Linked DNA regions of Callithrix jacchus. The protein of the gene in region 2 purifies or fractionates together with the protein of the main gene of each other region. This does not show direct contact. Links are inferred from orthologs where the notes say so. Each region holds a gene or a part of one and is shown on either strand. Other genes may lie near its edges.

Region 1 (4,212 bases), on a different chromosome or scaffold from region 2:
CGAGATCGCGCCCCTGTACTCCAGCCTGGGCAACAAGAGCCAGACTCCATCTCAAAAAAAAGAAAGAAAGAAAGAAAGAGGAAAAAAAGAACTGGATGCGTCTGATGTGACGCATGCCTGTTTGTTTATCTCTGCGGGGTGTGCCTTTGTCTAAGTAGAGATGGTGTGTGGCTTCTGCGGGCTTAACGTGTGGCTCGGGAGGGAGTAGGAGTCTGCATCGTGTACCCCGATTGCGTCTTACTCGAGTTTTGCTTTCTGAGTTAGAGGCGACAGGTGGTGCGGCGTTAGGCACTGGGAAGCTCTCTGGCGTTTGTATTCATGAGCGCGAGCCTTAATGACTGATCCGCGGGTTTGAGCTTGTAGGTACAGACGCCAGATAGCCCGATTTACGAGAACAGCCGATTAGAGGATTCGGGAGAGCGGTCGGTGAACTTCTGGAGGTCTTTCGGGAGGGGAAGGCTCTATGGTAGCGTGCAGAGCGCCCGTTCCACGTCAGGTACCCACCATAGAGGAAGGCAGCTGCGGACTACCCAAGGGAAGGGCAACTTGCCTCCCGTTGTTAGTCTGGCCTCTACCCCCAAACCTTCGGGATTTCCTGAAGTCAAAATTTTGCTTTTTCTAAAAACGACTGGGTTTCTTTCAGATTACGAACTGTATATTCACTTAATCTCTATTCCATATACCTCCTACTACAGCGAAATTTGTGAGACAATCCTCTAAAGCACGGCCAATCTGGTGAACTTTTCCTAAAACGAGCCATCTCTGCCAGCTTTAGGAGCTAAGACAATAACTACGATTGGTGGGCAGATTGTTTTGAAACCGCCCTAACGGCAAGGGGCAGGCCCTCGGTGAATTCATCTGTTTCCGGTTTCTTAAAGGCAACAGGAAGGAGGGGTTTCTGCCGACACTCCGTTTCATTGGTTCTTGTGGTTTTACCCGCTCGGACTCCTCAAGGGGCGGGAGATGTAGACCAATCGGAATGTGTGTTACAGAGACACTTAGTTTGATGAAAGGACTACGCAGAAAGGCCGTGGGGCACTCATTCTGAGATCTCACCGCCGATTGGACCAAACTGTTACTCCCTTGTTTTCATTGGGCCTTACGGCAGGAGGCGCGGGAGAGCTATCCAATCAGCGCGCGCCCCGCCTCCTGCCTTTTCCCGCCCTCCGCTCCGGCCTCGGCCTCGACGTAGGCCAACGCTTCCTTCCCGGTAGCTCTTGGGCCTTCTCGTTGCCGTTTTTTGAAAACCGCGTTCTGATTGGCTGGGTCTCATGGCCGGCGCCCGTTGCCCCAAGCACTGACCAATTGGCACTCGTGTTACATCGGACGAGGCACGGGTGAGGGGGGAGAGGGCGGCGGCGGCCATTTTGAGCCGCCGCCGCCATTGGAGTGGGCCCCCCCCTTCCCCCTTCGCCTTCTGACAGGAAAGGTTTAAGGGGGACATAGCCCTGGGGGGCCGGGCCGGGCTCGGGGGCCACCCCGGGGGCCCGGGCCATGGATGTGCGCCGTCTGAAGGTGAACGAACTTCGCGAGGAGCTGCAGCGCCGCGGCCTGGACACTCGAGGCCTCAAGGCCGAGCTTGCTGAGCGGCTGCAGGCGGCGTTGGAGGCCGAGGAGCCTGACGACGAGCGGGAGCTCGAGGCCGACGACGAACCGGGGCGACCTGGGCACATCAACGAGGAGGTCGAGACCGAGGGGGGCTCCGAGCTGGAGGGGACCGCGCAGCCACCGCCGCCCGGGCTGCAGCCGCACGCGGAGCCCGGCGGCTACTCGGGGCCGGACGGACATTGTGAGAGTGCGCGGGGCGGGGGCCGGGGAGCCCGGAGCCTGGGCCGAGGAAAGGGCTGTGGGACGCGGGAGTCCAGCGCCTGAGGTCGGGGAGAAGACTAGAGGATCGGGGGATCCCGCCACCCGCCGCTGAAAAGGATCTGGGGACAAGGGCCCCGGCGCGACCGGAGGGTGGATCCTGACACTCGGTGCAGGGGGGACACTGGGGGAGGGGCTCTGGGTTTCGGAGATTAGAGGCCGGGGTGGCGGGGAGGATTCCGTACCGTGGGGCTCGGATCGGAGACCGGAAACTTGGTTTCTGGGGCCGGAGAGACTCGGAAGAACAAGACGTTTTCCATTTGGGCTAGTGAGGGTCTCGAAAATGGGGATCCTGGGGTTCGGAGCTCGGAGGGCTCGGCGGCCGTGCTCGCCCAGCGTGTGGGCTGGGGGGCGGGGAGCCGTGTTTCCAGGGTGGGGAGAGAATGTCCAGGTGTGCGGGGCTGGGAGAGTTTTGAAGAAGGAGGATCCTGGAGTATGCCGCTGGATGCGATCCTGGGAGTTCTCCCGTTTGCTACGGGGGTGGGTGGGTGAGGTGGAGGCGCTGGTGTCTGTGGCTGGGGAGGATCGAAGGAACTCAGTGCTCTGGAGGTTGGCTGGTGAGCATTTAGGGGGATGCGGGAGCTTGAACCAGAGGGCACCGCATCTCTCTTCCGCGGTTGGAAGGCCACCCTTGAGGCAGGCACAGCTTGGACATGTGGTGCTTTGAGATCTGGGGACTTTCTGGTTGGCCGCTAGAAGAGGTCCAGAGGCTGGCGGGGGAGAGGATGCTTCCCTGGACAAAAGATCCGGGGGTCTAGAGCTAGGAAGACTGAGGACAGATAACTCCGAGGCTGCTGCTGAATGGCCTGGGGCTGACTGTGGGCTTTCCGCGAACAGGGGGTAGCTGGGGGTGGGAGGGGTGGGGGCAGATGAGTTGGTAACATTCGAAGTGGATGAAGTATGTGGCGGGAGACAGGATCCTGTATCCAGCACTGAAGGAGTATGGAGCTGGTTGGGCGTATGAGGAGGGGCAGGCTGTAGGGAGCAAAGAGAAAGGAGACCTGTTGACTTCACTGGAGGCCCCAGAGTGGAGTGCGCAGAGTGTTTCTGGACCCGAGCATCTCCAAGAGAAATCTCGTTGGTTGCCAGAAGCAGTTTTTTATGTACCCAGGGAGTGGGGACCCTCAGGGAGCAGCAGGGAACCTCTGCATCAGCCAGGAAGTGGGACTCTGGGAATGAGTTCAGGTAGATCTGTGGTTGTCTGAGGAGAGGAAACCCTGGTATGGGACGGAGTGAATCTTCAGTTAGAGAAAAGCAGCTTGGTTGAGCGCAGTGGCTCACGCCTGTAATCCCAGCACTTTGGGAGGCCGAGGCAGGCAGATCACGAAGTCAAGAGATCCAGACCATCCTGGTCAACATGGTGAAACCCCATCTCTACTAAAAATGCAAAAATTAGCTGGGCGTGGTAGCGCCAGCCTCTCATCTCAGCTGTTTGGAAGGCTGAGGCAGGAGAATCGCTTGAACCCAGAAGGTGAAGGTTGCAGTGAGCCGACATCGCGCCACTACCCTCCAGCCTGGTGACAGAGCAAGGCTCTGTCCCCCCAAAAAAAGAAAAAAGCAGCTTTCTTTCTTTTCCCCTTCCCCTTCCCGTTTTTCTCCCTCCCTCCCTCCCTCCCTCCCTTCCTTCCTTCCTTCCTTCCTTCCTTTTTCGAGTTGGGGGTTCGCCAAACACCCAGGCTGGTCATGAACTCCTGGGTTCAAGTGATCTGGCCGCCTCGGCCTCCTGAGGTGCTGGGATTACAGGTGTGAACCACTGTGCCAGGCCTCCGGGCAGCTTTCTAGTAGGACTGGGAAATGTGCCTACTGGAGAGGTTAAGCAGTAAGTAGAAGGGATTCTGGCATAGAGTTTGTAGAGTTTTTCTGAAAAGAGGGCATCCTGGGACTTGGGGCTAAGGGAATGAGAAGAAAAATGAGATAACAGAAGAGACAGGAGTTGGGATTGGCATTGGATACTTGTTCATAAGAGGTAAGGTTTCCTGGAGGGAGATAACCCAAGTGTGGATTTGGGATAGACAGTGGCTTAGGAATTATTCAGAATCCAGGTGCTGGAAAGGGGACTTCCCATTGCAGAGACTTGTGAAGAAAGGAGTGGCCCTGTGTGCATGTCTAAAGCAGGAGGGACTGGCAGGAATGCCTAGCAAGAAAGGGTAGTGCAGTAGTAGTGACCTGGAGGTCTGGCCAGAGAGTCCTGTCTGAGAGGAGAGTGAATTAGGTGCTTTGGAGTGTAGTCCCTAGACTCAAACAGACTTTGTTTCAAATCTGGCTTAACAATATTGTCAAGTCACTTCATCTCTGTGAGCCTGGTTTCCTTGTGGGTAAAATGGAGTTAATAAATACTGTCTTTTC
Region 2 (3,500 bases):
TTGCACACGTGTGTGTGACACGCTCAAAGGTCAGACAAGGGGTGGTCAGGAAGGGATGTATTTTAGTAGTCACTTGTATCTTTTTCCAAAAACACCTACCCATGTTTGGGGAATGTTAAACAAAATCAAAAAAACACCCTTTTGTAGCCGTTGGAAGCTTCATGTCCTTTCTTCTAACTTGTCTTCTCCAGCGGAAGTGACCGTGGTGGCTTCAATAAATTTGGTGGTAAGTGAACAGAGTTTCCAAAATTCCCAACTCCCAGCAATGCTTTGTCTGATTGTTCATTTGCAGATGTCTTAGCGTGTTAATTTAAGTGCAAAGGTATTGAGGTGTCCAGAACCACCTCCAAAAAGGGGTAGGGTAGAATGCCACCTGTTGCCTGGTGTGTGCTAACCTGGAGCAGGCAGGGGTAAGACTCATTAGTCATCTTTTACCAAATGGGTTTGCCCCCCGGTTAATAAGAGGGGTCTAGTTAGGCCTGGGACGGGTGTTGTCACACCTGGCACTTAGTGACCACCATCATGAGAAACTGGAGAGAGTGTGCTGGAACACGTGGTGCCAACTTGGCTTTAGGACCCTTTTGATCATTGTGTCCAAGGCTTGCGTGTGTGGGAGTGTGTGTGGGAGACAACCTCCAAATGTTTTAATTCTGGAAGAGGGATGTGACATTGCCCTGCCCTGAGGATGGTGAAGTTGGTATACATGTATAAAGTACGAAATGGTGTCAATGATTGCAATTCTCTGTATGTGGATTTAACTCAGATGGGCAAATAGAAACTAGCTCTGGGAAGGAACATGTGCACTACTTCAAGAAAGTTTGGAAGCATGTGTGGCTCATGGGAAATAACCAGGTCTTAAACAGCACAAACTGAATTCATGGACCAGGAAGGTCTTAAAACAGCACACACTGAATTCATGGAAAAATGACAAATTTGAGAAGTCTCCCAGTAAGCTGGAACTTTTCTGGTTTGGTTAACTAACAAAAGGTTTCTTGATTTGTCTCAACATTTAAAGCCAAAGGCTTGGGTTCATGACACTTATGTCATTGCGTGTGGGTACAATATTTATATATGGCGAATTCAGATAAACATTGGTCAAAGATGGTCTCTGGAAAAACAAAATAGAGGCTGCATTACGGAAATAAGATTTCTGGTCTGTTCCCTGGGACATGCTTAAAAAATACAATAGCTATTATGTGTGGTTTTTATTTTCATGTGGTTTTGGGGAAACAACATGGTTTTAAGAATGGTTTCTAAAGATGAAATTAAAAATTGTTCCACAAGGGATAAGTGTCTTTGGTGGTAAAGTTGGGAGAAACTGGATCGCATGGCTCGTGGTGAGCCCATCTCTCTTGGGTGAGAGAACCGGGCCAAGCTGAGTTGGTTTGTTCACTTTAATGGGTCTCCTTTCCCCTGCTGTCTGTGCTGAGGACATTTCCCAGCCTGAGCTGGGGGAGGCAGCATTTTCTGAAGTGTGGAGTTGTCTCTGTGGAGACTCAAGTTACAGATCTTAAGGGGCCTACCTAGAATTTTCTCCTCTGGGCAGGTGACCCAGGAAAGGGGTTTGGAGTGAGGCTGTGAGCACTTACATGATATTTTGCTAATTTGGATTTGGTGTTAATTTTTTTCCTTGTTCGTTTTTTCCTGTTGACTAACGGCTCCCCTTTCCTTGTTTTTGTTTTTGTTTTGTTCTTTTTTTCCATGTCACTTAAGGCCCTCGGGACCAAGGATCACGTCATGACTCCGGTGAGTTCACAGGTGGCATGAATAGAGTAGCTAAAGTGGATCAAGGCTGGATATTCTTTGAAATGTTATTAAAAGGAAACTGAAAAAATGAGGGTAGAAAGGGAGTTACGTGTATCCTTAGCAGTAAGAAGTAATCATGAAGTATTTCTCAGAAATACCTGGCTTTGTGGGTTCCACCCCCCACGATTTAGGAGGTCTGAGATGACCCAGAAAATCTGCTCAACAAGTCCCCAGTGATGCTGATGCATCTGGACCCTACTCAGAACTTTTGGTTTTCTGCAGTGTTTATTTAAAAATGTGGATCACGTCTAAGTTGGTGAACAAAAACTAGTGAACACAAAGACCTGACCACACGAAGGAAAGCATTTCACTTGTTTAGATTGTGTTGATGTTTGTGTACTAGATTTTAATGTAAAATGGGTTTCTTTCTTAATTTGGGGATCTTAACTGAAAGTTGATAAATACTGATGTACTTTGCCTGCATGGTCTTGGGTATTTCACTCCTGAGCTCTTGTTTCTGTACTGTGTATTGACGTGTTTCAAAGGATAATTGTCAAACCAAACCTGAAATTTATCAGCATGGCTGGCATATAGGCACTCAAAATAAAAGGGAATGTGGATTTCTTTTCATTTGTCTTCCATAGACCAAATCATACAAGTTGCTTGATGGATACTAGGTGTACTGCTTTTGGTTTTCCTTATGTGTTTATTTTTATTTGTTTTACTTTTTCACATTTGCGTTTTCTCCTCTGTTCAACAAGCAGAACAGGATAATTCAGACAACAACACCATCTTCGTGCAAGGCCTGGGCGAGAATGTTACAATTGAGTCTGTGGCTGATTACTTCAAGCAGATTGGTATTATTAAGGTACTTGTGGAGTGGGTGCTTTCTGTCAGTGTTGCAGGCTTTTGGATTTCACACATTAGTGTAAAAGCAAGTCTTAATGGTTGCTAGCAGTAAAAACAAAAGTCTTAATGGTTATTGCTAGCTTAAATTGTTGAGGAAGGATCCTTAGTTCCTGTTTTTTTTTGAGATGGAGTCTTGCTCTGTCACCCCAGCTGGAGTGCAATGGCATGATCTCAGCTCACTGCAACCTCTGCCTCCCAGTTCCAAGTGATTGTCCTGCCTCAGCCTCCGAGTAGCTGGGATTACAGGGACCCACCACCATGCCTGGCTAAGTTTTGTATTTTTAGTAGAGATGGGGTTTCACCATGTTGGCCAGGCTAGTCTTTGAAGTCCTGACCTCAGGTGACCCACCTGCCTCCCATAGTGCTGGAATTATAGGCGTGAACCGCCGTGTCTGGCCACTTGCTGTTTTCTAAAAGAATTTCTACTTTAACACAAAAGGTGTAACTGATAAGAGTTCCCTAAATTCTGAGATTTGTACTCTATAATAACATTTAGTTTATTTCTCAATGTTGGAGTGAGAAACACTTTTCTTTAATGGACATTTACATGTGAGGTTGGAAGAGGGAACTGGGAAGAGGGAAGCCGAAGTTTGAGAATGATAAACCTCATGTTCTGGAGGAAGAAGATGGGAGTACTGTAGCCTCTAAAATTGATGTCACCTCATTTTGCCTTCAGACAAACAAGAAAACGGGACAGCCCATGATTAATTTGTACACAGACAGGGAAACCGGCAAGCTGAAGGGAGAGGCAACGGTCTCTTTTGATGACCCACCTTCTGCTAAAGCAGCTATTGACTGGTTTGATGGTATGTATAAGAAGGTTGGCAGAGGTGGGGCTGGGGCCA
Region 3 (3,500 bases), on a different chromosome or scaffold from region 2:
GGACCTGATGAAGCGAAGATCAAGGTAAAACTTGACTTGGGTAGTTGCAATGAAATTACATTTAATGATGAGGTCAAATGCTTCTTTTCATGTTTCCCAGAGAGTTTCACTTTTAAAAATTAGTGTTTAGAAATGAAATAATTTAGAGAAATTACATAAGAAGGATAATTTTGGGGGTCAACACTCAATTGTATGTTTAACGAAAAGCCCTAATTCATATTCTCCCTCATTCATGGCCATGAATGATGTAGAGACAGACTCTTGCTCTGTTGTCCAGGCTGGAGTACAGTGACGTGATTTCAGCTCACTGCAACCTCTGCCTCCCGGGTTCAAGCAATTCTCTTGCCTCAGCCTCCTAAGTAGCTGGGATTACAGGTGCATGTGAGTGTGCTTGGCTGATGTTTGTATTTTTAGTAGAGATGGGGTTTCACCATGTTGACCAGGCTGGTCTTGAACTCCTGACCTCAGGGGATCCATCTGCCTAAGCCTCCCAAAGTGCTGGGATTACAGGCATGAGCCACCATGCCTGGCCTGAACAACGTACGTTTATTGATGATTCTGCTGGTAGTTTCTTGGATTGATCCAATAATGTCTCTTGGTTCAGTTATTTTCCAGGCACTTTGTTTCTTTTCTCTTGATAAAAAGATGTTGTTATAACTGCTTTCCTCCTTTTGAATTTTCAGTTACTTCAGTTTATTTGTAAAATGGGAAGAGTAATAGTAACTACCTCACAGAGTTATTTAAGGATTAAATGACTTAACATATATAAAGCACTTAGAATAATGCCTGGAATATAGTAAGAACTATTTAACCATGAGCCATTATTATTACCATTTTGTTACTTAGATAAACAGCTTTGAAAGGTAAATATACGCTTTTAGTGAAAGACCAGTAAACCTGATTCCTTATAATGGATACTCTGTCTTACTGTAGTGATGTACTTTTGTTTTGTTTTGTTTTTGAGACAGAGTCTTGCTCTGTTGCCCAGGCTGGAGTGCAGTAGTGCGATCTCAGCTCACTGTAACCTCTGTCTCCTGGGTTCAAGCGATTCTTCTGTCTCCCTCTCCTGAATAGCTGGGACTACAGGCATGCACCACCATACCCAGCTAATTTTCTTTTTATCTTTTGGTAGAGACGGGGTTTCACCGTGTTGGCCAGGCTGGTCTCGATCTTTTGACCTCAGGGAATCTGCCGACCTCAGTCTCCCAAAGTGCTGGGATTACAGGTGTGAGCCACTATGCCTGGTCTGTGATAGACTTTTTAATTTGAAATAGATATTTTATGTTGAAGTTATTTCTATTATTATTACATTGTAATATGTAATGAAATAATTATACAACTCACCATAATGTAGAATCAGTGGGAGCCCTGAGCTTGTTTTCCAGCAACTAAATTGTCCCATCTGGGTGTACTGGGAAATAGTGACAGATCTTAAGGCATTATATTCTCATAAGGAGCCTGCAACCTAGATCCTTCGTATGTGCAGTTCACGATAGGGTTCACGCTCCTATGAGAATCTAATTCGGCCGCTGATCTGACAGGAGGTGGAGCTCACAGCTCAGGCAGTAATGCCAAAAATAGAGAGGAGGAGGAGCAGCTGTAAATATAGATACAGCTGCTATGCAGCCCAGGCCACTACTTATCCATGGCCTAGGGGTTGGGGGAGCCCTGTTTTCTATTGCATTTATTTCTATGTTTAAAAGTAGAGAGCTCTGTTTCAGTTGAAAGTGGAGGAATGGAAGGCCGAAGACATGCATCCCTGTGGAACCCTAGTTCATTGAACTTGATGATATCTAAAGTCTCTTGTAGTTCTGACATTGTCTAATTTAAAAAACCTGAATTGTAAAATTCTCTCTTTTCTACATAGATTGCATTTCTTTGTTTGCCATTGTGTGTTTTGTTCTGTAGGCTCTTTATGTAAATGTTGCCTCAATTATAACATAAGCTCCTTGAGAGCAAAGACTTTATCTTCTTTTCTTTGATTCCTCTTAATGCCTAATAGAATGTAAGGAAGGTTGGTAATCAGGAAACACAAGATTTTACATATTTTTTGAAACTTGACTAATTTGGTAATTGCCAAATGTTTTTAGTCTGTACTGTGTGATTCTTGTCTGATTGTCTGATTCTTGTGGTGCTTATGATATGGCAGGAGTATAAAACAAAAGGATCAAACAAAGCTTCAATTATGGGACCTTGAGTACACTAGAAAGACAGTGGGGGCTGGTCGCGGTGGCTCACACCTGTAATCCCAGCACTTTCGGAGGCCAAGACAGGCAGATTACTTGAGGCCAGGAATTCCTGACCAGCCTAGCCAACATGGTGAAACCCTGTCTCTACTAAAAAGAAGAAAAATTAGCCGGGCGTGGTGGACATGCCTATAATCCCAGCTACTTGGGAGGCTGAGGCAGGAGAATCGCTTGAACCGGGAGGCATAGGCTGCAGTGAGCTGAAATGATGCCATTGCATACTCTAGCCTGGGTAACAGAGCAGGATTCCATCTTAGGGAAAAAAAAAAAAAAGAAATTAGGAAGAGAGGGATGTGAGTAATAGTAAACAAGAGAAGCTGCATGAAGGAGGTAAGACTTATGCTAATTTTTTGAGGATAGAGAACATTTTATTTGAAAAGACTCGCTGGTAGAAACATGTATGGGGAACTAGTGTGAATTTTGACTTTTTTTTTTTTTAACCTAATCATAAAAATATATTTCCTAGGAAGTTGGAGTACTTTGGAAAAGATTAATACATTGATGCTTGTGTTTGAAATTTAGTATTCAAGTATAAAGAGATGTATAATTATCTCTAGGCCTTGCTTGAGAGAACTGGTTATACTCTGGATGTAACCACGGGACAGAGGAAGTATGGTGGTCCTCCACCAGACAGTGTGTACTCTGGCATGCAACCGGGAATTGGAACAGAGGTAAGTGTTCTTTAGCTGTTTGCCAAGATCTTTCCAGGTTGAAAAGTGTTTTGTCTACTATGTAGATACTGTACAGAGGGGGAAAATACTTGATCCCTTTCAAACTGTACCTGCTATTATTTTTTAGATATCCATGTGTATGGATGGGAGTTTTGCTGCCATTATGAGCATGGATAATGTTGTGACTAGTAGATATCCACACACTTTATATCAGAATATAATATAGAGTTCTTGGAACGGGTTGCTAAAACCATGCTACTAGCAACACATCATTTTATATATTTGGAGTAAAATTATTTGGAAGATTGAGTTGCTTTATTCTGTTTTTTTTTCCTGCCCCTGAGATGGAGTTTCACTCTTGTTGCCCAGGCTGGAGGGCAGTGGCGCGATCTCAGCTCATTGCAGCCTCCACTTCCGGGGTTCAAGTGATTCTCTTGCCTCAGCCTCCCCAGTAGCTGGGATTACAGGTGTGTGCCACTACACCTGGCTAATTTTGTATTTTTAGTAGGGATGGGGTTTCACCATGTTGGTCAGGCTGGTCTTGAACTCCTGACCTCAAGTAATCCACCCGCCTTGGCCTCCC
Region 4 (3,046 bases), on a different chromosome or scaffold from region 2:
CAAAAATAAAAAGTTAGACAATTGTATTCCCAAGAAGGTACGGGCTGCAAAAAATACAGTTAAAATGGTTATCCATTCCCTGTAGGAATACCATTTGAGATTGAAAAAAGAAAAAAAAAAAGCACATGTCATCTGTGTTAAGTCTTCACCCACCCAATGACAGACCCTGTCAAAAGGAATGTGTATCCCTAGCACATTCCCAAATCAGCAAGTTCCCTTACAGATCATCAAGTGACATCTGAATGCTTCTGCGCAGTAGGGCCACTTAAAGTTTCACAGCAACCTCTTCATGTGCTCATTTTGAGGACCTTGAAACAAAAAAATGTACAAGGTCCTTTGCATTACACATTTATCAGAAGTTCAAAATTCTCTGGCCACACTGCTTGTCTTGCCAAGACCTTACAACCGCAGCTGCAAGAAAACATACCTGTCCCCCAAAAGTTGTTTTTATGCACTGTGTCTCGTCTAGGCAAGCGCTTCCAAGAAGCCAGGATTCACTTGAGAATGTGTCTCTCTCTGGCAGGTCTCGACATGACGACTACTGTGTAGGTGAGGGAGGAACTTTCAAAGCACTTTCTTTTCCCACTGACTTAAGTGTGAGAAGTTGCTCCTGCTCTACATCTCATGTGCCAGTACTCACCAATTTGTAAAAGGCTTTAGTACCTTTTAAAGCTGCTCTCTCCATTTCAAACTTGAACAAAAATTTCATTGAACATTGAAGTTTGGAAATATTTCTTCGACATTTCAGCAAACTCACTGAAACTCAAAGACCCACAGATCACAGTGAACAGTTTGAAACAATGCTGTACCATGGCAGTCATGCAAAGCATGGGACAGAAGAAATACCACGGCAGTGAACTGTGAGGATAACTTCCTTATTTTCCCTCGGAGAGAACAGTTTACGGGGCAGAGGTGGTATGTTCTGCCTTTTGAAGATTACTGGCACACGTTCAGCTTTTCACCTCTCTAATCGACTGGAAGCAGCCAGCCGATCACTAGTCCTCCATCCCCCTCGAGTCCTCCGATTGTCATGCCTAGGCCTTGCCACAAAGACTGCACCTTTATGTGAAAAAAAACTTAAGAAAAAATGCAGAGGTTAAAGAAAGCAATAAACTTTCTTTAAAAAAGTTAAATGGAGATCTTCTGGGAAACCAAGCCATGAATGCGAGTTTGTACTAACCTAGCCCTCTGGAGGCCACATCTGTAGCAATCAGAATAGGAGCTTTTCCATGTTTGAATTCTACAAAAAGGAAGGCATACAAATGATCAATTATCTGAGCAGAATTCTAGCTAGATTAAGGAGGGGCAAAAGCTTCATTTGAAATATTTACCATTTAGAACCCAGTCACGCTCTTGTTGACTCTTGTCACCATGGATACCCATGGCAGGCCACCTAAGTTAAAAGACAAGTTGTATTATTAAACTCACATTGAAAAACCTCAAGACTCAACTGCTTAATCACTTTATTCACAGATCCCTTTAATTCCACAAGTAACACATACATCATTTTACCCATACTATCAGATAGGAAACTTAAATCAACTGTTCCTGATCCAAGTTCGCCCTTTCCTAAGCTCAGTTCTAATAAATCTGCTTCAATGCAGGAGCCCACACATACCCATCTCTCCTCATTTTTCTGGTAAGCTCATCACATCTTCTTTTGGTCTCAACAAAAACAATGGTTTTATTCTCCTTCTCACTCATGATCTCTTCCATTAGACGAATAAGTCTAGTAAGAGAGAAAAAGGAAAATCCTTTGTTTCTTTTTTTTTTTTTTAAACCGACCCACCGCCAGAAAACCCTGAGTTTTAAAAGACCATCACTATGGCCACACATTTACAGTCAGCAAAACATTAGGTTTAATTTTACATGGCTAGAAGTCAAAGAAACACTTGCTAAGCCACTCACTTATCAATCAGTTTGACCCTTGGTCCTTAAGTCAACCAGGGGACACACGAATTTCTTCCATAGGAATGCTATAAATGATTACAGCCAATTATTTGAAAGATTCAAGAGATTTTCAAAAGAATTAATATGCTAACACTAAATGAAGTAGAACACACCAACTGAAATAACCTAACTCAACATCAATGATCTCTCAATTTTACAGCAAACTTGTTAGCAAACATAGCAGAGTTAATTAAAACTTACTTTTCATCCTTTTCTACATCATGACACACATCCACAATCTGAAGAATGTTGTGGTTTGCACTCAGTTCCAGGGCACCAATGTTTATATGAATATAGTCTTTCAGAAAATCTTCAGCAAGCTGTCTTACTTCTTTTGGCCAAGTTGCACTCCACATTAGAGTTTGCCTATCAGGCTAATGGATTGGGGTGGGGGTGTGGGGGAGAATTAGCATTGGACTTAAAAGCCAAAACAGAATTGAATTTGATCACTTATTTAGATTGACACTTACTCTTATCTGATCCACAATCTTCCTTATTTGGGGTTCAAAGCCCATATCAAGCATTCTATCTGCTTCATCAAGGACAAGGTAGGTGGTTCTTCTCAGATTGGTTTTCCCACACTCTAAAAAGTCAATCAGTCTTCCAGGTGTTGCAATACAGATTTCCACACCTTTAATTATTAAACACATAACTGTAACTACAATACCTAGGATATTTAGCACCAATTAACAAAACCTTTTTCATTATCTACCTCTTTCCAAATCACGTATTTGTGGTCCCTTGGGAGCACCACCATAGATACAAGTAGACTTCAAGCGACACGCTCTACAATATTCAGCAGCTACTTGCTGCACCTGTTGGGCCAGTTCCCGAGTTGGTGCCAGCACCAAACACTAAGGAAAGAGAAACAACTTTCAGCACAACTTGGACACTAGTTTTAAACTACTAACTTATTAGTCATGCTCGCAGATCCTTTCTAAATACGTGCTGTCCAGTACCCAAAGCAGCTCCAACTAAATAAGGTGAGCTAACCTCTATATAAAACTACCACAAATGATTGTCTTTTGCTATGCAGTCTAAAAATCTATACATTATGCTTTAATCAAAAGATAAAAATATATACTTACAATAGGCC
Region 5 (3,500 bases), on a different chromosome or scaffold from region 2:
TTATTCCCCCATTTACCAGTCGCACGTGCTAAATTGTGTCACAGAAAACTTACACTGTAGCAGAACAGTATTCTTTTGTAGTCCAGTATTTACTGTGGCTTGGTAGATTAATTAGTTGCCTTCCTTGTATCATACTAATAACTGCCCAATTCTTTTCCTCTTGAGGTGTGGATGTCAGCATGAATACACATCTTAAAGCTGTGAAAATGACCCTGAAGAACAGAGAACCTGTACAGCTGGAAACGCTGAGTATTCGAGGAAATAACATTCGATACTTTATTCTACCAGACAGTTTACCTCTGGATACACTACTTGTGGATGTTGAACCTAAGGTGAAATCTAAGAAAAGGGAAGCAGGTAAGTTTGAAGGAATATAAACATTTTTTTGAATGCCAATCCTAATCTACACTACTCATAATATAAATATTTGTAAACAACACAAGTGTCTTTGTTGCTTAATATTTCCTATAGTATGTATTATAACTCCTGGAGTTGCTGTTAAAAACATTGATGTATTTCCTGTTCAAAGGATTTATCATTTTCTGTCCCCTGCCCCCACTTTGGAAGATTTGGAGATGGACTCTTTATTCCTAGTATTCTGAAATTTCTTAATGTCTTGGTATAGGGGCTTCTCATGTCTGTAATTGCAGCTATTTGAGAGGGTGAGGTGGGAGAATTGCTTGAACCCAGGAGGTGGAGGTTGCAGTGAGCCAAGATGCCACCACTGCATTCCAGCCTGGGCAACACAGAGTGAGATCCTGTCTCAAAAATAAATAAATTAAATTAAATTTGTTTTTAGGCTGGATGCAGTGGCTCATACCTATAATCCCAGCACTTTGGGAGGCTGAGGTGGGCGGATCACCTGAGGGCAGGATGAACTCCCAGTCTGATCAGCATGGAGACTCTTTAACAGACCAGCCTGACCAATATGGAAAAACCCCATCTCTACTAAAAGAACTTTGTTTTCTTTTTTTGAGATGGAGTCTCGCTCTTGTCACCCAGGCTGGAGTGTAATGGTATGGTCTTGGCTCACTTCAACGTCCACCTCCCAGATCCAAGCTAATATTCTTCCTCAGCCTCCCAAGTAGTTGGGACTACAGGCTCTTGCCACCACACCCAGCTAATTTTTGTATTTTTAGTAGAGGCAGAGTTTCACCATGTTTGCCAGGATGGTCTTGATCTCTTGACCCCGTGATCTACCCACCTTGGCCTCCCAAAGTGCTAGGATTACAGGCGTGAACCACCAAGCCTTACCTATTTTCTTTCTTTAAAAAGAAAAAGAAGCCAGGCATGGTGGCTTCCAGTACTTTGGGAAGCCCAGATGGGTGGATCGCCTGAGGTCAGAGTTTGAGACCAGCCCGGCCAACATAGTGAAACTCCATCTCTACTAAAAACACACAAAAAAGAGCCGGGCATGGTGGTGGGTCTGTAAAGGCTGGACTGCAGAGTGAGACCCTATATCCAAAAGAAAATTTAGAATGTGACTGTATCAGGATTTTCTAATATTTATAGCTGTCTGAAGATGAAATGTTTATTTGGGTGATGAGTTCTCTGTCATCATGATACTCAACTTGAGTTAGGATGACCAAGTGACAGGGATATTGCTATATGGGTTAAAGCACTAGATTATGTTTGGGTCAAATGAATTTTAATTTTCTGAAGAGTTAATAAGATTGTGATTGATATCATAGTTATAAACTTTCCTGGATTTGAATTAACTTGCTTGGATTTTATTCAGTTACCAGACTCTGGCATCAGGTTATTCATGTTCTATTGATATATCTCTTCCATTTTTTGTGAGGTTCAAATCATTTTATGGTGAATTTGAGACATGATATAAAGAAAACATATTTAAAATTTGACAAATTTCTTAGTAAATAAATTGAAACAAATAATAATCTTCCTAGGCCTTTAGTTCTTGGTTCTGCATGATAATGTGTTGAGGGGGTGGCGGGAAATCTGAAGTCTTAACACATTTAAGAGAAGCTAGTTAAACTTAACTTTACTGTAACTGCTAATAAAGAGCTATAAACGGGGAAAGGTGTCTGTGTGTAAACGCTGTTTGTGGTGGCTAGGTAACATTCATGCAGAAGAGAATTGAATTTGCTTTGTTTTTCTTTTCCCTCAGTTGCAGGAAGAGGCCGAGGCCGAGGCAGAGGAAGAGGACGTGGCCGTGGCAGAGGAAGAGGGGGTCCTAGGCGATAATGTTTCTCATGATTACTGTTTCAAAGTCATATGGGATCTGGGATATTTTTTGTACAGGTTGTGTTTGTTTATGTCAGTTTTTAATAAACATAAATGTGGGACAGAGTGGTCTATTGAGTATATCAGAGTTTTAGTAGTTTCCTCCACATTCATAAGAATACCACAGTGAAAGCTAAGCATTTCTACTGGGCAGTTTCATTTTTAGATGATCAGGCTTTAAGTTTTGAACTAAAATTTTTATTTTTATGATAATAAAAATAAGGTTAAAAGAAAAGCCTCAGACAAATTAAATTTGACAGTTTAATTGAGCAAAGAACAATTCATAAATCAGCCCCTGAACCAGAATCGGTTCAGAGGCTTCAGCCCAGCTGCATAGTTGATGAGGATTTATGGACAGAAGAAGGAAAGAGATGTATGGAAAATGGAAGTGAGATACAGCAACAGCTGGATTAGTTACAGTTCAGCGTTTGCCTTATTTGAATATAGGTTGAACAGTTCGCAGCCTTTGATTGGCTGAAACTTAGTAATTGGCCCAAGAGTAGGGTACCATCTGTTTACATAACCAGTTAGGCTGCAGTTCACTTTGTACTGAGAAACCTTTAGGCTAAACTTAAGATATGTAAAGAGACAACTTTAGGCTAAACTTATATAGAATATATACCCTTTTACTTCACATGCACTGAATGTGCATTTTATTGCTTTACTCTGACATCATTCTGTGGCACCCACCTACAAGGGGAAGTAAGTTCTTTTTGGTATTTCAGAAACTAAAGTCCTTGTGGGATGGGGTCTAAAATTCTCAATTCCTGGGGGGCCGGGCGCGGTGGCTCAAGCCTGTAATCCCAGCACTTTGGGAGGCCGAGGTGGGTGGATCACGGGGTCAAGAGATCGAGACCATCCTGGTCAACATGGTGAAACCCCGTCTCTACTAAAAATAACAAAAAACTATCTGGGCATAGTGGCACGTGCCTGTAATCCCAGCTACTCAGGAGGCTGAGGCAGGAGAATTGCCTGAACCCAGGAGGTGGAGGTTGCAGTGAGCTGAGATCCTGCCATTGCACTCCAGACTGGGTAACGAGCGAAACTCTGTCTCAAAAAAAAAAAAAAAAAAAAAATTTCGCTGTTCCTGAGTTTTACTCCACAGAGTCTAAGGTACTTGGTAAAAAGTTGTCTTCTATATTAAGGGTCATTGCTTTTGTTTTCTAGCTGCTGATTTTTGTTTCTTTTGCTTTTTAATCAGTTCTCAATAGGGTATAGTTTTAATGTTCTCCAAGTTGAAACTTGGAGTTAAATGT
Region 6 (4,126 bases), on a different chromosome or scaffold from region 2:
GGGAAAGGGAGAGCTGGGGCAGATCTTGAAAGGCCAGTTCATTTGAAATTTTTTAAAAATGCCATCTGATAGTCAAGTATGGATCAGTAATTCACCTTTTGCCTCCTTTCAAATAACTTATTAAAGCATATATATGGGGAAAGGAAGTATTAACCCAAACACCCATTGTAAAGAAATACAACATTATTAATACCTTGTAGCCCCTCTATGTGCCTGTTTCACATTTACAACTTTCACCCTAATAACCACTGCCTTCAATTTCGTTAACCATTCCTTTCCTGCCATTTTTGCACATAGCCTTTAATGTGTCACCCTACCACAATCTTTTTAACTCAACAAGTCTGTGACTTATTCACATTAATCCAAGTCCGTGCCCCTCCCCCCACTGATTCAATTGTATTCAATGGCACAAATACCCACAACTTATTGAGACATTTGTTTCCAATATCCTGTTGTCATGAATGCTGGTATGCAAATTTTTCTGGTAAGGATACTGGGCCACGTGTGCAAGGATTGTTCTAGGCATTACAGTGTAGGGTATAAAGCTTAGTGAGGAATTTCTGGGTTTTCAACTTTCCTAGATAATCTCCAATTATTTTTCTAACTGGTTGTACCGAAATTCACTTCTAAACTTAGCAATACAGTAAAACACTGAGCAAACATTCCACCTCTCAACTTAAAATGAGATCAATTATTTTCCTTCCTAATAAGATATAAATCAACATTTTCATCTTGTAAAAAGTGGCAACTGAAGTGGTTGTGACTAGTTAATGTGGTAGTTGTGTATCTAAACCACAAAAGACAAAAATGTTTGGAGAAAATATCATTAACAGAGCCCCGCTACAGACAGACAATGACATCCATTATCTTTTAATCCCTGACATCATCAAAGTAAAGGCTCGGAGAGGAAACAGGTTCACAACGGCTGCCGATCTTGACCAAGGCCGCGCACACACAAAGTGGCATCACTTTACTTTTTTGGGGGGCAGGGGGAGTTGGGGGAAGGCCGGAGTGCAGTGGCACGATCTCGGCTCACTGCAACCTCCAACTCCCAGGTTCAAGCGATTCTCCTGCCTCAGCCTCCCAAGTAGCTGGGATTACAAGTGTGCGCCACCAAGATCGGTTATTTGTATTTTTAGTAGAGACAGGGGTTTCACCATATTGGCCAGGCTGGTCTCAAACTTCTGACCTCATGATCTGCCTACCTCAGCCTCCCAAAGTGCTGGGACTACAGGCGTGAGCCACTGCACCCGGCCTGTACAGACACCGCTTTTCTAAGTGGTAACACAAATAAGAACATCTCTTAAGCGATATTTTCTTTTAACAGTAAAATTTAAATCTGGGAACTTTAGGTTTAAACTTAAAAGTTAACTTCCAACTCAGTAATTCTGGCATTATAATACCAATTACTTTTTTTTTTTTTTTTTGAGATGGAGTTTCCCTCTGTCGCCCAGGCTGGAGTGCAATGGTGCGATCTCTGCTCACTGCAACCTCCGTCTCCCGGGTTCAAGCGATTCTCCTACATCAGCCTCCCGAGTAGCTGGGATTACAGGCCATGTGCCCCCGCGCCCGGCTAATTTTGTATTTTTGGTAGAGACCGGGTTTCTCCACGGTGGTCAGGCTGGTCTCGAACTCCTAACCTCAGGAGATGCGCCCGCCTCGGCCTCCCAAAGTACTGGATTACTGGCGTGAAGCACCGCGCCCGGCCCATAACACTAAGAACTTTCTAGAAAGATAGAACAGTTGCTGCTGCTGTCCAATTACGGGGAGAAAAGGCTGAAATATTATAATTAAAACTAAACGACCCAAAAATCTCTCCTTCCCCTAAACACGATCATTCAGATGGGAACTCCATTGCTTTACACTCCAATGTATTTCTCCCACTTAAAATATGACTTTAAAGGTTTAAAACCTATTTTTAAAAATAAAAAGTCGGTGTTTTGGTCTCCAGTGCCATAAAGTGAACTCTGGGGACAGAATGTCAAGGCTGCCATTTCGTGAAAGGTTTTGCCGGGCTGAAGTCTCTTAGGAAGATCCGTGTTTTCCAGATGAAGGTCGAGGCCTGGAGACATCAAACGGCCCGCCCGAAGCGGCCAGACGGGAAGAGCCGGTAAATCAGGCGAGGCCCCGACAACCCGGGCCGGGGCTGCTGCGGCCAGGCCGCCCTCCCGATCCCCCCCGCGGCTGCGACGAGACCGGACCGCGCCACGACGGCCGTCCGCACGAAGAGGCCCAGCGTCGCCAAGCCGCCGCCCTTCCCGGGTCGGAGTGACCCCGGTCCGAGGCCCGCAAACGAAACCGCCGTCTCGCCTCGCCTCCCGGGGTCGAGAACAAGGCGCTCAGGCCCTCAGTCCGCTGGGCCTATCCAGGAAGCAACTTCCCCACCCCCACGCCAGGCCTCTCCTCTCCTCCCCCACCCTTACCCTCCACGGTCACGGTCCCGGTCCCGGTCCCCAAAGCCGCCTCCGCGCATGGTCCCAAACGGATAGAGATCTGGGAGCGGGGCACGGATGGCCGGGCTCGGGAGGGCCTGCGGCTCCGGTCTGGTGACGACCGATGGCGGCGGCGCCTCCGCTGTTGGGGCGGCGGCAGGCGCAGCGCTCTCTCGCTCCGACGCGCTGTCTCCCGTCGCAGACGCCACCGTCGCCGCCTCTCTCGTCGGAGACGGGAGCAAAACACAGAGAATCGGGGCTATATAGCCGGTGGGCAGGTTTGGCTACGCTCAAACCCGGCAGTGCCGCGGTTTAGGCGTCTCCTTCTTTCCCAGCGACTGCACAAAATGGCGGCCGCTGCTGAGTCTGCTCCAACTTAACGCTACGTACGGCGGAGAGGATACGTAAACAGCGTCTCGGAATAGCCCGAGGGCTCCGCGGGGTACTACGGGTATTCTTGGAAGCACTTTACGTCAGTTGCGACGATGGGGGTATTTTGCGGTGTGTACAAGAAAAACAAAGTACGGAGTGAGCGTAGAGTTTTCGCGCCACCTGAACTAGAACGTGGGGTGAGGTGGGTGGAAGAGCCTCCAGTGCGACGTAACATTCTTTGCGTCGTTTGCCGGCCCGCTGTTGCGAAGATGCGCAGTATGCGTAACGCATTCTGTTCAGAGAATAGAGGATTTTGCCGGATTGTGATCTCGGGTCAGACACCGCGGAGGGCTTGTGGAAGTTCCTTTGCAGAGACAATAACAGTCCTCTATATTGTTATCAAGTTTCGGGGTCTCCTGGTGCCGGAGGCTGGAAGGGTCTTAAGTTCCCTGACTGGCCTTCCCATATGGTGCTGGCAGCCCTCTCGCCCCGCCGCCCGGGGCTGGCTGAGAATGGCGGCGGGCCCCGGCGCCATTTTCTTTTGGTTGCCTCTCGCTGCTCTGTCTCCGGCAGCCATGATGGATGCACCGTGTCCCTTTCTTTCAGGAGTTGGTGAGGTGTCGACGTCCCCATTAGGTTAAAGCGCCCCCAGCTACGCTTGGATCACACTGAGGTGCATTTTCTGACCCGTATGTTTTCACCCTCCCTGGCCAAGCACAGCCGTTGCTAATGTGCTCGGAGGCTGGGCGTGGTGCCTCACTCCCGTAATCCCAGCACTTTGCGATGCCGAGGTCTCCTGATCACCTGAACTCAGGAGTTCCAGACCAGCCCGGCCAACATGGTGAAACCCCGTCTTTACGAAAAATACAAAAATTAGCTGGGTGTGGTGGTGCGCGCTTGTAATCCCAGCTATTCGGGAGGCTGGGGCAGTATAATCTTTTGAACCCGGGAGGGGAGGGTGCCATCAGCTAAGATTGCGCCATTGCACTCCCGCCTGGGCGGCAGAGTGAGACTCCGTCTCAAAAAAAATGCTTGGAGCCCCAGTGGACCCCGTGGGTTCTTGGCTGCCTTTAAACGGCGCGCTTCAGAAAGCCCCGAGAAGACCCCAGCACTCAGGAGAACAGCGGTGGTCAGACAGAAAGGGCGAGGCCATAAGGACAAGCGTTTAACCGGGCTAGCCCACCTTCTCCGCTCAGTTCCTGCTGTACTGGCTTCCCTCTGCTTACCTGCTCCCTGTCCTCTCAGGCTGCATTTTAACGCCCCTCAAACTTGGCCAGATGACGTCCCACGACCGTTGAGCTGTTAGGGCCCTCGAGACAGGC
Region 7 (3,945 bases), on a different chromosome or scaffold from region 2:
ACCTGACATTTTCCCAAGGGGTACAGGTTACTGAATCAGAAGAGAAATTAGTCCAATAACATCTCTAAATGTCTTGAAAATAAACATTTGTTACAGCTTTAGGTTCATCATCAAATCAGAATCCCTGAAGTGAAACCTGAGTATTGGCACTTACTAAAAAGTGCCCTGGATGATTCCAGAGTACAGTAACAATCAAGAACCACTGACTTAAATGGCCAAGAGTGCACCCCCCGCCCCCCGCATCACTAAGTATATCTTCAAAGAGAACGAAACATAGTATTTGACTAAGGAGAACTTTTAACAAACACTAATCATTAATAAGTATTAAATTTGTTTTATGCCAAACGTATATTTTACATTATCAAAGTGCTCAATAATTTGGAGAATATATAATACATAATCATGTGTAAATAAAAAGTCATCACCAAAAGATTCATTGTTCATGTTTTAGAATTCTTTCCATGAGAGTCGTGGTGGCTCACGCCTGTAATTCTAACACTTTGGGAGGCCGAGACTGGGCTGCGGGGATATCGCTTGAGCCCGGGAGTTGGTGACCTGCTTGGGCAACATGGCAAAACCCCCATCTCTATAAAAAGAATTAAAAATTTTTAAAAAGAATTATGATTTCCATTTTATTTCAATGCTTTGTCTTTTAAGGGAATTTATTGACATAGCGACGATCAGATTCCATATGCAATTTTGTATCTTGCTTTTCAAATTTGCCACAGCCTTCTAAAAAATGTCCCAGACTTGTGTGTATCCACGGAAGAAACTCCGTAAGTACTTACAAATATTCTGATCAGTCATTCTTAGCCAATGAAAAGCAAAAGCTAGGCATGGGGTTTTATTAGTTTGGGAAGCAGGGAGGCATTCCAACCGGCTTCTTTCGCTCTTGCCAGGTTCAAACATGGCGGGCAGCAGCCGGCCCTTCCCGTACACTCCGCTCGCTTTCCCACAACCCCAGCCAATCTTTGGCGCTCCTTTTTTACCTTCCTTCCCCCTCGGCGGCTCCAGGGGGTCAGCACCTCGGAGCTTGACAGCAGACCTGCTTCCCGCCCCCATGCGAGGGCCCGCCCACCAGCCCGCGCCAGCCAATAACAGGCCGCGCCGAGGGGGCAGGCAGCGCCGGTCGGCCCCGCCTCCCCAGCCTCTCTGTGGCCTGCGGCTCCCGGGCGGGTAGCGCCGGCTCTCAGTCGCGTCGAGTGAGCGTGTGGTATCGCTGATCGCGGGCGCTCGCAGCCGGCCATAGCTCAGCCCAGCGCCGCCAAGGCCGAAGGCCCCCAGCCTCCGCCATGGACTTCGAGGACGGTAAGCGCTGCCTCTGGCTGGTCGGCGCGGCTGGCGGGAGGCGGGGTGGCCTGCGTTGAGGATCTGTTTACGGTCTCAAGATGGCCGTGTGGGCTTTGTTCTGCGGGCCCTGAGGCCGCCGGCCCGACGCGGGCCCAGCGCCCGGCGTCTGCCTCTTTGGGGACCCGCGCGCCCTGATTCGGCCCGCCCGGCGCCGGCTGCCGGCGGAGACCTGAGAACTCGGTGTTGGGTAGGACGCGCCCAGAGCGCGAGGGCCTCCCGGCTGGAGCCCCAGACTCGCCTTGGCTCCTGGTAGTGGAAATTGCCCCGACGTCTCCAACTTCCCGGTCTCGAGCCAACGGGCGAGTGCGGCCTCACCCACCTAGTCTCGCATTCGCCCCGCAGGGCAGCGCCCCAGACCATCCGTTTAGCTAATCCTCAGCCTCGGTTTGCTTCTTGCCAGATATAATTTTCGGAGGCTTGTTCACAGTGATGTTTCTGGTTGTCCTGGTTTAAGATGAGTTGAAACGGTGTCTTTAAGTGATATATATATAAATAGCCATCTATGCGAAATGGAAAGCAAGGTGTTTCCTGGTTAGCAAACTGTTGTGTTTATCAACAAAAATTATCCCGTTGTTAATCTCTAATTTGAAATATTTACGTGAACCAAACCACTTTTCTTTGGATCGTATGTAGATAGGGTTTAAGTTAATCAGAATTTTGGCACAGCACGCATCAAATGTCCTTCACATTTAAACACCTGTACATAGCCTTGTAAGTATTTGACCTACGGATTGAATAAACTGTATTTTAGCAATACCTTTCAGTTGTCTCAGATACCAGTTCTTTAAACCACTTTTACAGGGTCACAAAGTAAAATTAATTTGGTCTTCACTTTTGTCTTCAAATTTTACTAGGAATTGTTGTCAAGATACGGTGGTATGTAGAGACAACATTAGGGAGAAAGGACTTGTATGATTAAGCTGGATTTAATCCTGAGTAACCAGGCATGCCGAAGTAAAACCAGTTCGCCAAGTAGGCTGTAAACCTTTCACCCCACCAAAAAAATGATCTTTAAATGAGATGTGATCTCAGTATATGTCTTACTCAATGAGCTTTTGATTTTTCGTAAGATTTCATGCTACAAAGAGTTAAGGCTGTCAAATCTAGGTACAGATTTGTGAAAGAGGACTGGAATAGCCCTCTTGTGGATACTTTTCAGCTACTTTGAAACAGTAAGTTGAGCTCTTCAGATTAGCACACTCTCGTGGTTTTGTTTGTTTTAGTTGGACTTTGACTCATTTTGATGTAGATACCTTTAAAATACAAATATTGGAAATGTCCAGAGTTGGGAGTGAAAATAAAAAAAGTATTGTATTTTCATGATAAAGTTTGATGGTAATGCCAACACCCAACGTATAGCAGAGGCTAACAAGGTGGAGGTAGGGCAGTGGAAGCAGTTCTTTCTCCTCCCCACCTAAAGCAGTAAGGGAATCCATTTTCTATAGAGCAATGAAAAACAATAATAAAACATACTATGTCTGCTTTCTATTACTGCCATATGCCTACAATTCTAAACAGTGTCAGTGATAAAATACTAAACAATATTAGTGATAAAATACTCCCTCTCTCACTGCCCAGATACACCACTGTTGTATTTGGAAGAAGGAATTTGACTAACACCATAGCCGAATCTAATCCTGTGTACTGTAGCAGGATTCTGTTGTATTCATTTGACCACTACATTAAATTCTTTTGTTTTTTCAGTATATATTTGTAAAATTAACTAAGGAATTTAACAGTTGTTAAATTAGTTTTGGTGAGGTAATTGGCAATATGGTTTTCAGTGATGACACATTCTGGATTAATATAGAATAAAATCATATATGTATATGCATATGCGTGTCTCAGATAAGATCTTGAATTTTTTTTTTTAATTGGAAACAGAGCCTCACTCTGTGCCCAGGCTGGAGTGAGGTTGCAGTGATCTTGGCTGACTGCAACCTCTGCCTCCCGGGTTCACCTGATTCTGCCTCAGCCTCCCATGTAGCTGGGACAATAGGCGTGCACCACCAGGCCCAGCCAATTTTTGTATTTTTAGTAGAGATGGGGTTTCACCATATTCGCCAGGCTGGTCTCGAACCCCTGACCATGTGATCTGCCCACCTTGGTCTTTCAAAGTGCTGGGAATACAGGCATGAGCCACTGCACCCAGCCAAAATCCTGAAATCTTTGAAGAGCAAATTAAATGGTAAAAGAAATTAACTTAGCAAAAATTTCATGTTACTTAAAATCAGTTCTCAGATATCTTTGCTTTGGCATTATTTGATACATAATTTAATCTATCTGCCTTTTTGTTACTTGGTACGAATCAGTGCTGGATCCTCTCTTTTGGCTGTTATTATATATCAGGTGTTGTAAACTAATGTTTACCATAATTTGGATAATAAATCTACTATTTGGGGAGATAGTGAAGAAAAAAAGAGATCGGTTTTCCCAAATGGGGTATTGGTAATTATTTGTACCCCAGTTTTGCAGAAGATGCTATTTATGGGAATAATTACTGTCATTTAAAAAAATTGTGCTTATTTTGGACTAGATGGTTATATAATTTTGAATTATTGCTAATATCACACTAATTCCTTTTTGTTAAATGTG

Evidence for each region.
Region 1: the proteins of FUS (region 2) and HNRNPUL1 purify together in Homo sapiens (affinity purification with mass spectrometry; 3 studies listed by BioGRID and IntAct, with this or other methods). This does not show direct contact. The link is inferred for Callithrix jacchus from reciprocal best matches to the Homo sapiens genes FUS and HNRNPUL1.
Region 3: the proteins of FUS (region 2) and HNRNPR purify together in Homo sapiens (affinity purification with mass spectrometry; 4 studies listed by BioGRID and IntAct, with this or other methods). This does not show direct contact. The link is inferred for Callithrix jacchus from reciprocal best matches to the Homo sapiens genes FUS and HNRNPR.
Region 4: the proteins of FUS (region 2) and DDX5 purify together in Homo sapiens (affinity purification with mass spectrometry; 5 studies listed by BioGRID and IntAct, with this or other methods). This does not show direct contact. The link is inferred for Callithrix jacchus from reciprocal best matches to the Homo sapiens genes FUS and DDX5.
Region 5: the proteins of FUS (region 2) and SNRPD1 purify together in Homo sapiens (affinity purification with mass spectrometry; 3 studies listed by BioGRID and IntAct, with this or other methods). This does not show direct contact. The link is inferred for Callithrix jacchus from reciprocal best matches to the Homo sapiens genes FUS and SNRPD1.
Region 6: the proteins of FUS (region 2) and DDX17 purify together in Homo sapiens (affinity purification with mass spectrometry; 5 studies listed by BioGRID and IntAct, with this or other methods). This does not show direct contact. The link is inferred for Callithrix jacchus from reciprocal best matches to the Homo sapiens genes FUS and DDX17.
Region 7: the proteins of FUS (region 2) and ZNF326 purify together in Homo sapiens (affinity purification with mass spectrometry; 3 studies listed by BioGRID and IntAct, with this or other methods). This does not show direct contact. The link is inferred for Callithrix jacchus from reciprocal best matches to the Homo sapiens genes FUS and ZNF326.

What each region holds. Positions count from the first base shown.
Region 1 is NC_133523.1:36,547,240-36,551,451, forward strand, and holds the start of HNRNPUL1 (heterogeneous nuclear ribonucleoprotein U-like protein 1), read left to right. Parts: upstream 1-1,412; 5' UTR 1,413-1,494; coding exon 1,495-1,789; intron 1,790-4,212.
Region 2 is NC_133513.1:30,701,585-30,705,084, forward strand, and holds part of FUS (RNA-binding protein FUS), read left to right. Parts: intron 1-191; coding exon 192-226; intron 227-1,713; coding exon 1,714-1,746; intron 1,747-2,510; coding exon 2,511-2,614; intron 2,615-3,331; coding exon 3,332-3,461; intron 3,462-3,500. UniProt on the Homo sapiens protein: DNA/RNA-binding protein that plays a role in various cellular processes such as transcription regulation, RNA splicing, RNA transport, DNA repair and damage response. Binds to ssRNA containing the consensus sequence 5'-AGGUAA-3'.
Region 3 is NC_133508.1:60,089,410-60,092,909, reverse strand, and holds part of HNRNPR (heterogeneous nuclear ribonucleoprotein R), read left to right. Parts: coding exon 1-24; intron 25-2,803; coding exon 2,804-2,917; intron 2,918-3,500. UniProt on the Homo sapiens protein: Component of ribonucleosomes, which are complexes of at least 20 other different heterogeneous nuclear ribonucleoproteins (hnRNP). hnRNP play an important role in processing of precursor mRNA in the nucleus.
Region 4 is NC_133506.1:89,763,383-89,766,428, forward strand, and holds part of DDX5 (putative ATP-dependent RNA helicase DDX5), read right to left. Parts: coding exon 3,039-3,046; intron 2,805-3,038; coding exon 2,663-2,804; intron 2,582-2,662; coding exon 2,421-2,581; intron 2,325-2,420; coding exon 2,152-2,324; intron 1,730-2,151; coding exon 1,619-1,729; intron 1,394-1,618; coding exon 1,332-1,393; intron 1,241-1,331; coding exon 1,181-1,240; intron 1-1,180. UniProt on the Homo sapiens protein: Involved in the alternative regulation of pre-mRNA splicing; its RNA helicase activity is necessary for increasing tau exon 10 inclusion and occurs in a RBM4-dependent manner. Binds to the tau pre-mRNA in the stem-loop region downstream of exon 10.
Region 5 is NC_133514.1:64,593,271-64,596,770, forward strand, and holds part of SNRPD1 (small nuclear ribonucleoprotein Sm D1), read left to right. Parts: intron 1-165; coding exon 166-357; intron 358-2,128; coding exon 2,129-2,205; 3' UTR 2,206-3,500. UniProt on the Homo sapiens protein: Plays a role in pre-mRNA splicing as a core component of the spliceosomal U1, U2, U4 and U5 small nuclear ribonucleoproteins (snRNPs), the building blocks of the spliceosome.
Region 6 is NC_133502.1:209,419,500-209,423,625, forward strand, and holds the start of DDX17 (putative ATP-dependent RNA helicase DDX17), read right to left. Parts: upstream 2,801-4,126; 5' UTR 2,474-2,800; coding exon 2,424-2,473; intron 1-2,423. UniProt on the Homo sapiens protein: As an RNA helicase, unwinds RNA and alters RNA structures through ATP binding and hydrolysis.
Region 7 is NC_133508.1:127,429,386-127,433,330, forward strand, and holds the start of ZNF326 (DBIRD complex subunit ZNF326), read left to right. Parts: upstream 1-1,145; 5' UTR 1,146-1,292; coding exon 1,293-1,308; intron 1,309-3,945. UniProt on the Homo sapiens protein: Core component of the DBIRD complex, a multiprotein complex that acts at the interface between core mRNP particles and RNA polymerase II (RNAPII) and integrates transcript elongation with the regulation of alternative splicing: the DBIRD complex affects local transcript elongation rates and alternative splicing of a large set of exons embedded in (A + T)-rich DNA regions.